2 linked regions of the Schizosaccharomyces pombe genome follow. Changing the gene in region 1 together with any one later gene gives a genetic interaction. Each region holds a gene or a part of one and is shown in the gene's direction. Other genes may lie near its edges.

Region 1 (4,162 bases):
CTGATGCAGTTCCCTCTCAATATCTGCGGAATTCACAAAACTTTTCAATGGCAGCCGGGGATTTCCTGGAGGTATACGGCACCGAAGAAAGTCGTGATTCGTTTCAAGTAGTAGCTACCTGCTTCTTTATAGACACTACAAAAAACATACTGGACTATTTGGATACAATTAAAAACTGTTTGGTAGATGGAGGTTATTGGATAAATCTCGGGCCTTTATTGTATCATTTTGAGTCAGAAGGTACTTCTAATTCTAACAGTGATAGCCAGCAACAACCTTTCGTTGAATTGACTCTCGAGCAGCTGTTTTACGTGATGGATAGTATGGGATTTGAGGTTTTAAAGCACAATTCGGTCGACACGACTTATATGGGGGACAAACGAAGTATGCTTGAATGGATATACCATCCTCATTATTGGGTCTGCCGTTTGCAAAAATCAAAATTACGATTTCAATAAAAATTTTTGAACCAACATTGAATATTACGACTTTAATCATTCAAATATTCCTTTAGCATAATTAACAAAGCTAATTGATAACTTGTACATGAAAGTAAAGCGATTATTTTTGCATCTACTATCTACGTATAAAACTGCCTACATTAAATAAGCCATTCGTACGCTTCAAAAACTTTATAAGCCGCATTTGAAATAAAGGAAACGGAAAAACATAAAGGCTTTGAAATACAGTATGAGCCAAATTATTAATTAATAGACTCACAAAGCTTTGTTCATAAAACGTCTCTTGCTGAAGCAAGTCCACCACTTGCTGGGATGATCCTTTTCAGTTGCATATACATGGGACAAAAGACGATAAGCAAGTTCCTGACGAAATTGAGTAAGATATGTACGCATTATTTCTTTTTTTAATAGTTAGCAAATGAAAAAAAAAGCAAGAAAGCTATTAGCGGCACAAACATCTATATGTCTAATGCCACAGTTTGGGTGAATCTTACCAGCATCTTGAGGAGAAAGGGGAGGAGCATATAATGCATTCAAGGGAAAGCCAGCAGAGCCAGGAATAGAAAAATTCTCCAACGCTAAACTATTAAGTTGACGTTCAGCATCACGATAATTGAGTCCATTAACTCTTCCCAAGCACTCACTGATAAATAATGTTCCATAAATTAAAGTACGGTCTGCTGGTCCCTTAATCTCAAAATTGCGGAAGAAACAATTGGCGCGAAACAGCCCAATGCATTCATCAATAATATCCATTTGACTCTCATCAGCTGTATAAAAAATGTTAGAAAGTACTCTAATAACATTAAGAATAGTCTTTAAACAGAGTTGACAAATATCTGGAACATACCAGGATAAGCCGGTCCACGAAACTTGGTTTTCAACGGCAGCATTGCTATGTTTCCCGTGGTAGGGACGTCCGTAAGACTTAAGAAGGAGGAATGATAGGCCTTTCATAACATGTCAGCAACAAAAATTCAAAACTTTAGAACATACCGGCATATCTAATGTCTAGTGCTTATGATGTTGTTGGATAACTTGAGCACCTGCTGAATGTGCCGATAGGGAGCATTTCGTCAAGCATCAATAGTGATAAATTAGCTTTTCTTTAAACAAAATAGCGAAAAGCTATGTAATTACAGTAAAGCAATATAGCGTGTCGTTTTTTTGTTTTGTGATCGGGTCTCGGTCTCTACTTTATAACTAGTTTTCATCAATGGAAATGACATAGAGCCAATAAATTTGTAGCGAGAACCAAATTCATAAGCATTTGCACGAATGCATTTATTGCTTGAAAAATTATAAAAACGTCAAAAAAAGATTTTCATGTTTGGTTATTTTGATTTTGGGATCTAACGTACTGACTTATATGGGGATAGACGGTCTTTTGGGACCGTAAACATTACTACATCGGAAACAATTCCCCCCTGTTAAATCTTTCTGTGTTGGATATTTTAATACAGTTTAGTAGGTAATCTGTTTTCTCCAGAGTGACGGAATTGAGGATATATCTGAAAGAGCATGGAAAACCCTTCCCCAACTAGAACAACCAATTTGCAACGAATTCGGTCGTTGTACAGGTTACAAGAAGACAAGAATAATTTAAATATACCAGAACCTATTAATGGAAAAGTTCAAGAAATCGATACAAAAGAGTCATTGGAAAATGTGGATCGTTACGGAAACTATCGCTCAGACTTTAATGTTAATAATTTAGGGTTCTATAAAGTTAGTAAAGACCCAACATTAGATAAACCAAACCCTGCCAAACGTCTTGGCAATAAATTAATCGGCCATGATGACATGCTGAAGTACGTTGATGAAAGCATCTTCATGGTTGTTCCCGGCGAGTCGCATGACCGCAACGAAATATCAGCTAAAGAGCTTTCCCGTATTCAAAAATGGAAATCGATGTGTTCAATACACCTCGTTTCCGGTAATCAGCTCCATTCTTTTCGAAAAACTCGTAAGTTAATTTTACGTACATTTAAGGGGATTCCAGATTGTTGGCGATCTATTGCGTGGTGGTCCTTTCTTGTGGATTCTCTTCCTGATAAAAAACTGATTGACAAGTATTACCAATTGAACGAGCAGATTTGTGACTATGATGTTCAAATTGACCTAGATGTTCCCAGAACAGCTGCTACACATTTCTTATTCCGAAAACGCTACATTGGAGGGCAACGTTTACTATTTAGAGTTCTTCATGCTGTAGCTCTCTATATACCTCGTGTTGGATACGTTCAAGGAATGGCTTCTATTGCTGCGACCTTGCTCATTTACTATCCCGAAGAACAAGCATTTATAATGATGGTAAATTTATTGGAAAATAGAGGCATGGGGGACTTGTTTTCTTCCGGGTTTGATACACTTTTAAAGGCTTTTGACATGCTTAAGCATGAGTTAAGTTTTACACAATCAGGCAGACATCTGGCGGAAATTGGAGCAGAACCATCTGCTTTTGCTACACGTTGGTATCTCACTGTTTTTCATCAATGCGTGCCCTTCCATACTCAATTACGTATATGGGATCTCCTGTTTTTATTAGGTGGAAGCAAAGGTCAAACTGTCAGGTTATTGCAAGCCACTTCTCTTGCGGTTATACAAGGAATGTGGGACACGCTAATTGATGCAGACTTTGAAGTAGTAATGCAAGCTCTGTCAGGTGTTATTCCCATTCAAAACGATAACGCCCTGCTTGCTAGAATTCAATTATTTTGGGAAAAAATGCCTTCTGAAAATTCTTCTAAAAGTAAGAGAAACTGATATTTCTAACTCTTTTTTAATAGCTTTATTAATTGTGGCCCACATGATGTAACATATGTCAACAAGATGAGGATTGATATCACAGAGCTTAGCATAATGGGTCCTGAACATTTATCATTTTCTTTTTCTGTTTTAATTTGGAACGTTGATAAACATTATTTCCTTGATACCACAAAACTTTTATTGGTATCAAGAGTATGCGCTTTAAATCGATCCTATCTAACTCTCTCTTCTTACTAATATTATAATTTTAACATCTCACCAAAAGAAATGGAATTTTAACATAAAATTAATTCAAGTATATATATTATAAATACTATACATATATATGTATACATAATACCTCTCCATCTTGCGACTTCCTAGGTGCGTCGTAATTTCTAATTATGTATAGCTTAAATAGTTAAATATTACCAAAACACTGACGACAAATAATAAAATATAAAGAAGGTAGTAAATGGGTTGAAAAATCAAATAAAACAAGGTATGGGGTTACTCTTCCTCGTTCTCTTCTACATTCTCTTCTGAAGAACGAGATTGATGAGAAGACGCAACATCAGCAAACTTAAGGATTTTGTCTTTATACTTGGTGACATCCCCGGAACTGTCTTCTATTATCCAGGACTGGACCTTATCTTCAATCAAGAATCGCTTGGAACTATTTTCATCAAAAATCACTACAACACTGGAATCCTTCAAGTTCACCTCCATCTCGATAAAAAGTCTCTCATGTTTTCCTTTACAAACAAAAGCGCATCGACCAACATCAGTTAATAGCATAACCCTTTGCTTTCTTTTCAAAAACATTTTTGAGAGTCCAGATGGAAACTTATTACCCTCAGGTACACTTGGAATGGGTGATACGAAGACCGAGGTAGATTCAATGATCGACTCAGACGATGGAACCAACTTGTAATAAAGTCTGTCAACAGGCA
Region 2 (3,387 bases), on another chromosome or scaffold:
CCTTCTGATTGTTCAAGCCTTAGTAATTCCGCATCCTCTATAGCATCCATGTCATTATAAAAATCCCTTGGTTTTCCAATTTTAGAAAATATTCTATTCATCCAAGCCTTTCCAAAGGGAAAAATCTCGACTCTATTCTTTAATATTTTATAATAATGTAAACAATATTTTCGGGTAACATCTTTTACATACCCATTAGCCTCAATAGCAAATACATAAGTCATTTGATTTAGATGGTCACTGGAAGCCGGTTCAAACCTTCTGTACTTGCCAATGACACTAGCATCACCAAATGGATCAACACAAACCCATTTTTGCATAGCTTTATTAAAAGCCTCTACCCAAAAAACCGGTTTGGGAGAATCAATTACCTTTAGTTTTGTATCTTCTGTAACAATATCTGAGGCATCAAGATGTGAAAGATTTGAAAAAGAAGGCTGTATGATTTTCCTACGTTTGCGAAATCTAGAAGTAATGTGTGCACTTTCAGAGATATCGCTAGATGAATCATTTTCCATTTGCTGAGACCATGCCGGAACAATTTCATGACTACTTGCTTCATTTATGGCACCTTTAAATCGAAAAGATAAAACTTGTAGTGAAAAAACTAGTCTAGTTGGAACGTTTAAATTACGAAGAATAGATGCAAATAACTGGGTTCCATAATCTCTACTACCGGAAAGCAATTTTGAGTTTTTACAAAACTCCTCAAGGGATAAAGATTCAGAGATGAGGCTATTGTTTTGTAGTAAACCATAATTCGGTTTTCTTAATCCATTGGTAGTGATTTTATATTTCCGTTTCCAAACTTCGACGAGTCCAGCCAACCCGTGTAGGAAAGTTTTGTTCCGAATCATTTGTGACTTTTGAGAAGAGGGATGAAGCGAGACACGTATACCAGGAGGAATATATTTCACAAGATAATTTAGTCTATTGTCATCGCACCAAGTGTTTCGTGTGCAAAGATGATAAGTCAAACAGAGTAAGTGTAACTGATGAATTTGAAGACGAATCTTTCTATCAACGGAAGTGATCTTTAAGCGGCTACGTTTTTCAACCGTTCGATCAACGGTGGCCTCAACGTCTCCAAAATCATGAGTTGGTCGTTCTTGAATCAACCTTTCACCATGTACGGCGGATGAAAGGAGCGAAGAATTTAAAATAGGTGCAGTTTTAATATCATTATTAGGGAGACCAAGATCTAAATCTAACCATTCTTCATCATCACTATAGGTATTATCTTCGTCACTCATCATAGCATTTATATTTGATAGAAGCCAACTTTTTTCAGTATTAAGACTCGTTGCGCCCTTATTCTATTATATTATTTTAAAAAATGAAACATAAAAAACCAATGAAACGTTTTTGAGATGCGTAACTCTTTAAAAACACTAGGGAGCACGAGTTTATAAAGATACTTCAATTAAGTAGAATATAAGAAAATGTTTTGACCATTAATAATGCACGTAACACATGAGAAAAAGATTTGTATTTATTGATACGAAAAGTAGTTCATAACGTTAAGAAAAACAAATTCCTTTTCTATTAAAATCATAGCTAACGTTGAATTTGTTTATATACAGCGTTGTAGTGAAACCAAAAATCGCCGTTAGAGTACATTATATTTTAAGTTAGAAGTTTGCGTTGCATTTTGGTAAACGGCATATCTTTGAGGTAGCGATATGGCTACTTTGCAACTTCAATCTTTAGCATTGCACAGGCTATTCGAATTTCAAATTGCCTTTTTCAAGGGTTTACTATCTCTATCCTATATAAATTTCGTTAAATTTCTTTTTATCAAGAATTGAGGCTCGTTTATCCGGTCATAACTTTTGGTAGCTTTAAAAGGTCTCTTTGTTTAGGATAGAATAGAATTTGCTACCGTTCTCTCACGAGAGCTTAAAGATGGTAGGCACTTCTTCTTTAGATATTTCAATGAGCGGTAGCTCAAGTTCGGACGCAGAACAATGGGAGAAACAGACAAAAAGTGTCCATATCGATAATTCGTAAGTAACTGAAATAGTTGCTTCGCTGAACGTTACTGATGGTTACTAATCATTGCTTGTACAGAGACGTGAATTCGCTGATTTTAGATTATTTGGTGATTCAAGGTGACGAAGAAGCCGCAAAAACATTTGCTGAAGAAGCTCAAATTACGGATTATTATATTCCTCCATATGTAAAAGAACGTTTAGAGATTTGCGAGTTAATTAAATCAGGTTCAATTAACTCTGCAATATGCAAACTGAATGAATTGGAGCCAGAGGTATGCTGAAAGCAAGTAAGGATTACGAGTTAACAGCTACATAGATTTTGGACACAAATTCAGAACTTCTGTTTGAATTATTACGATTGAGATTGCTTGAATTGATACGAGAAGTTGTTGAAGAGAAAGATACCTCTGATTTAGCGGTAGAAAGATGTTTAAACTTTGCACATGAAAATTTAGCACCTTTAGCACCCTCAAATCAAAAGTTTTTGAATTCTTTAGAGTTGACAATGTCGCTTTTATGTTTTCCTCCTTCTTCCTACAGCCCTGCCTTGAAAAATGTTTTGAATTACAGCCAACGTGAGCGTGTTGCAAACCTTGCCAACGTTAGTATATTGAAGTCTCAAGGATTATCAAATGAGTCTAGGTTGTTGTCTTTGGTAAATTTTGAGCGCTGGTGTGAAAAAGAGGCACAAAGGAATTCGATTGAAGTGCAGAAATTTGTGCCCAAAGCATCCATAAAATGATTACTTTTTACGACCTTCCTCAGTTTATGCATTTATGTCTGTTACATCCATTTAACATAAGAACTTTTTTCGTATTGTTCTCACTAATGATAATTAAATTATTGAACTCACAAATGATAATATGACATTCAATTAACAAAGCCAATTTTTGTTGTTAAGCAACATCGTATAGTATCAAGTTACTGACAAGCAAAGCAAACACAACTTTTCCTTTTAAAAGTAAGGAGGGAATTTAATGGGTTATTAAATTAGCAATATTTTTTCTATGGCGAATAATTTGATTTTCTTCATTGGTAATCATAGATAACTGTAGCGAGATGCCTTTCGTTCTCGCAAATTAAGATTGTTTAGGCTAAAAAAAAAGGTTAGAATTGGATATAAACAAAAGTGTTCCAAAACTGAAAACTTACCAAATTTCAAAATTGAGCGTTTGTCGCTTTTCCAAAAAACTAGAAGTTTCCAACAACATATTGATATTAGGGCCTTGTAATGTTTCGGCTTGCAAGGTTTGTAAAAGGAATTCCTTAAATTCTTGGCTAATTAATCCACGAACTCGGTTGACTAAAACATTTGCATTCGGAGTTAGTTGGATGGATTGAATAGATTTACGAAAAAAGTTTGGCTGACCTTGAAAAATTTCAAGAGCAACTA

Evidence for each region.
Region 2: mutations in SPOM_SPBC1778.09 (region 1) and gid8 together harm fitness more than expected from each alone (negative genetic interaction), as found in Schizosaccharomyces pombe (one large-scale study listed by BioGRID).

Annotation. Positions count from the first base shown.
Region 1 is NC_003423.3:3,110,742-3,114,903, forward strand, and holds SPOM_SPBC1778.09 (GTPase-activating protein), read left to right. Parts: upstream 1-1,710; 5' UTR 1,711-1,982; coding exon 1,983-3,227; 3' UTR 3,228-3,656; downstream 3,657-4,162. Other genes in the region: SPOM_SPBC1778.07 (carnosine N-methyltransferase), read left to right, coding at 1-458; arc3 (ARP2/3 actin-organizing complex subunit Arc21), read right to left, coding at 717-859, 956-1,231, 1,312-1,411, 1,458-1,463; pdk1 (serine/threonine protein kinase Ppk21/Pdk1), read right to left, coding at 3,720-4,162.
Region 2 is NC_003424.3:4,594,534-4,597,920, forward strand, and holds gid8 (ubiquitin ligase complex subunit protein), read left to right. Parts: upstream 1-1,708; 5' UTR 1,709-1,905; coding exon 1,906-2,006; intron 2,007-2,070; coding exon 2,071-2,266; intron 2,267-2,310; coding exon 2,311-2,736; 3' UTR 2,737-2,847; downstream 2,848-3,387. Other genes in the region: DNA repair protein Rhp41, read right to left, coding at 1-1,256; tea5 (serine/threonine protein kinase Ppk2), read right to left, coding at 3,034-3,088, 3,147-3,387. UniProt on the Schizosaccharomyces pombe protein: Component of the GID E3 ligase complex recruiting N termini and catalyzing ubiquitination of proteins targeted for degradation.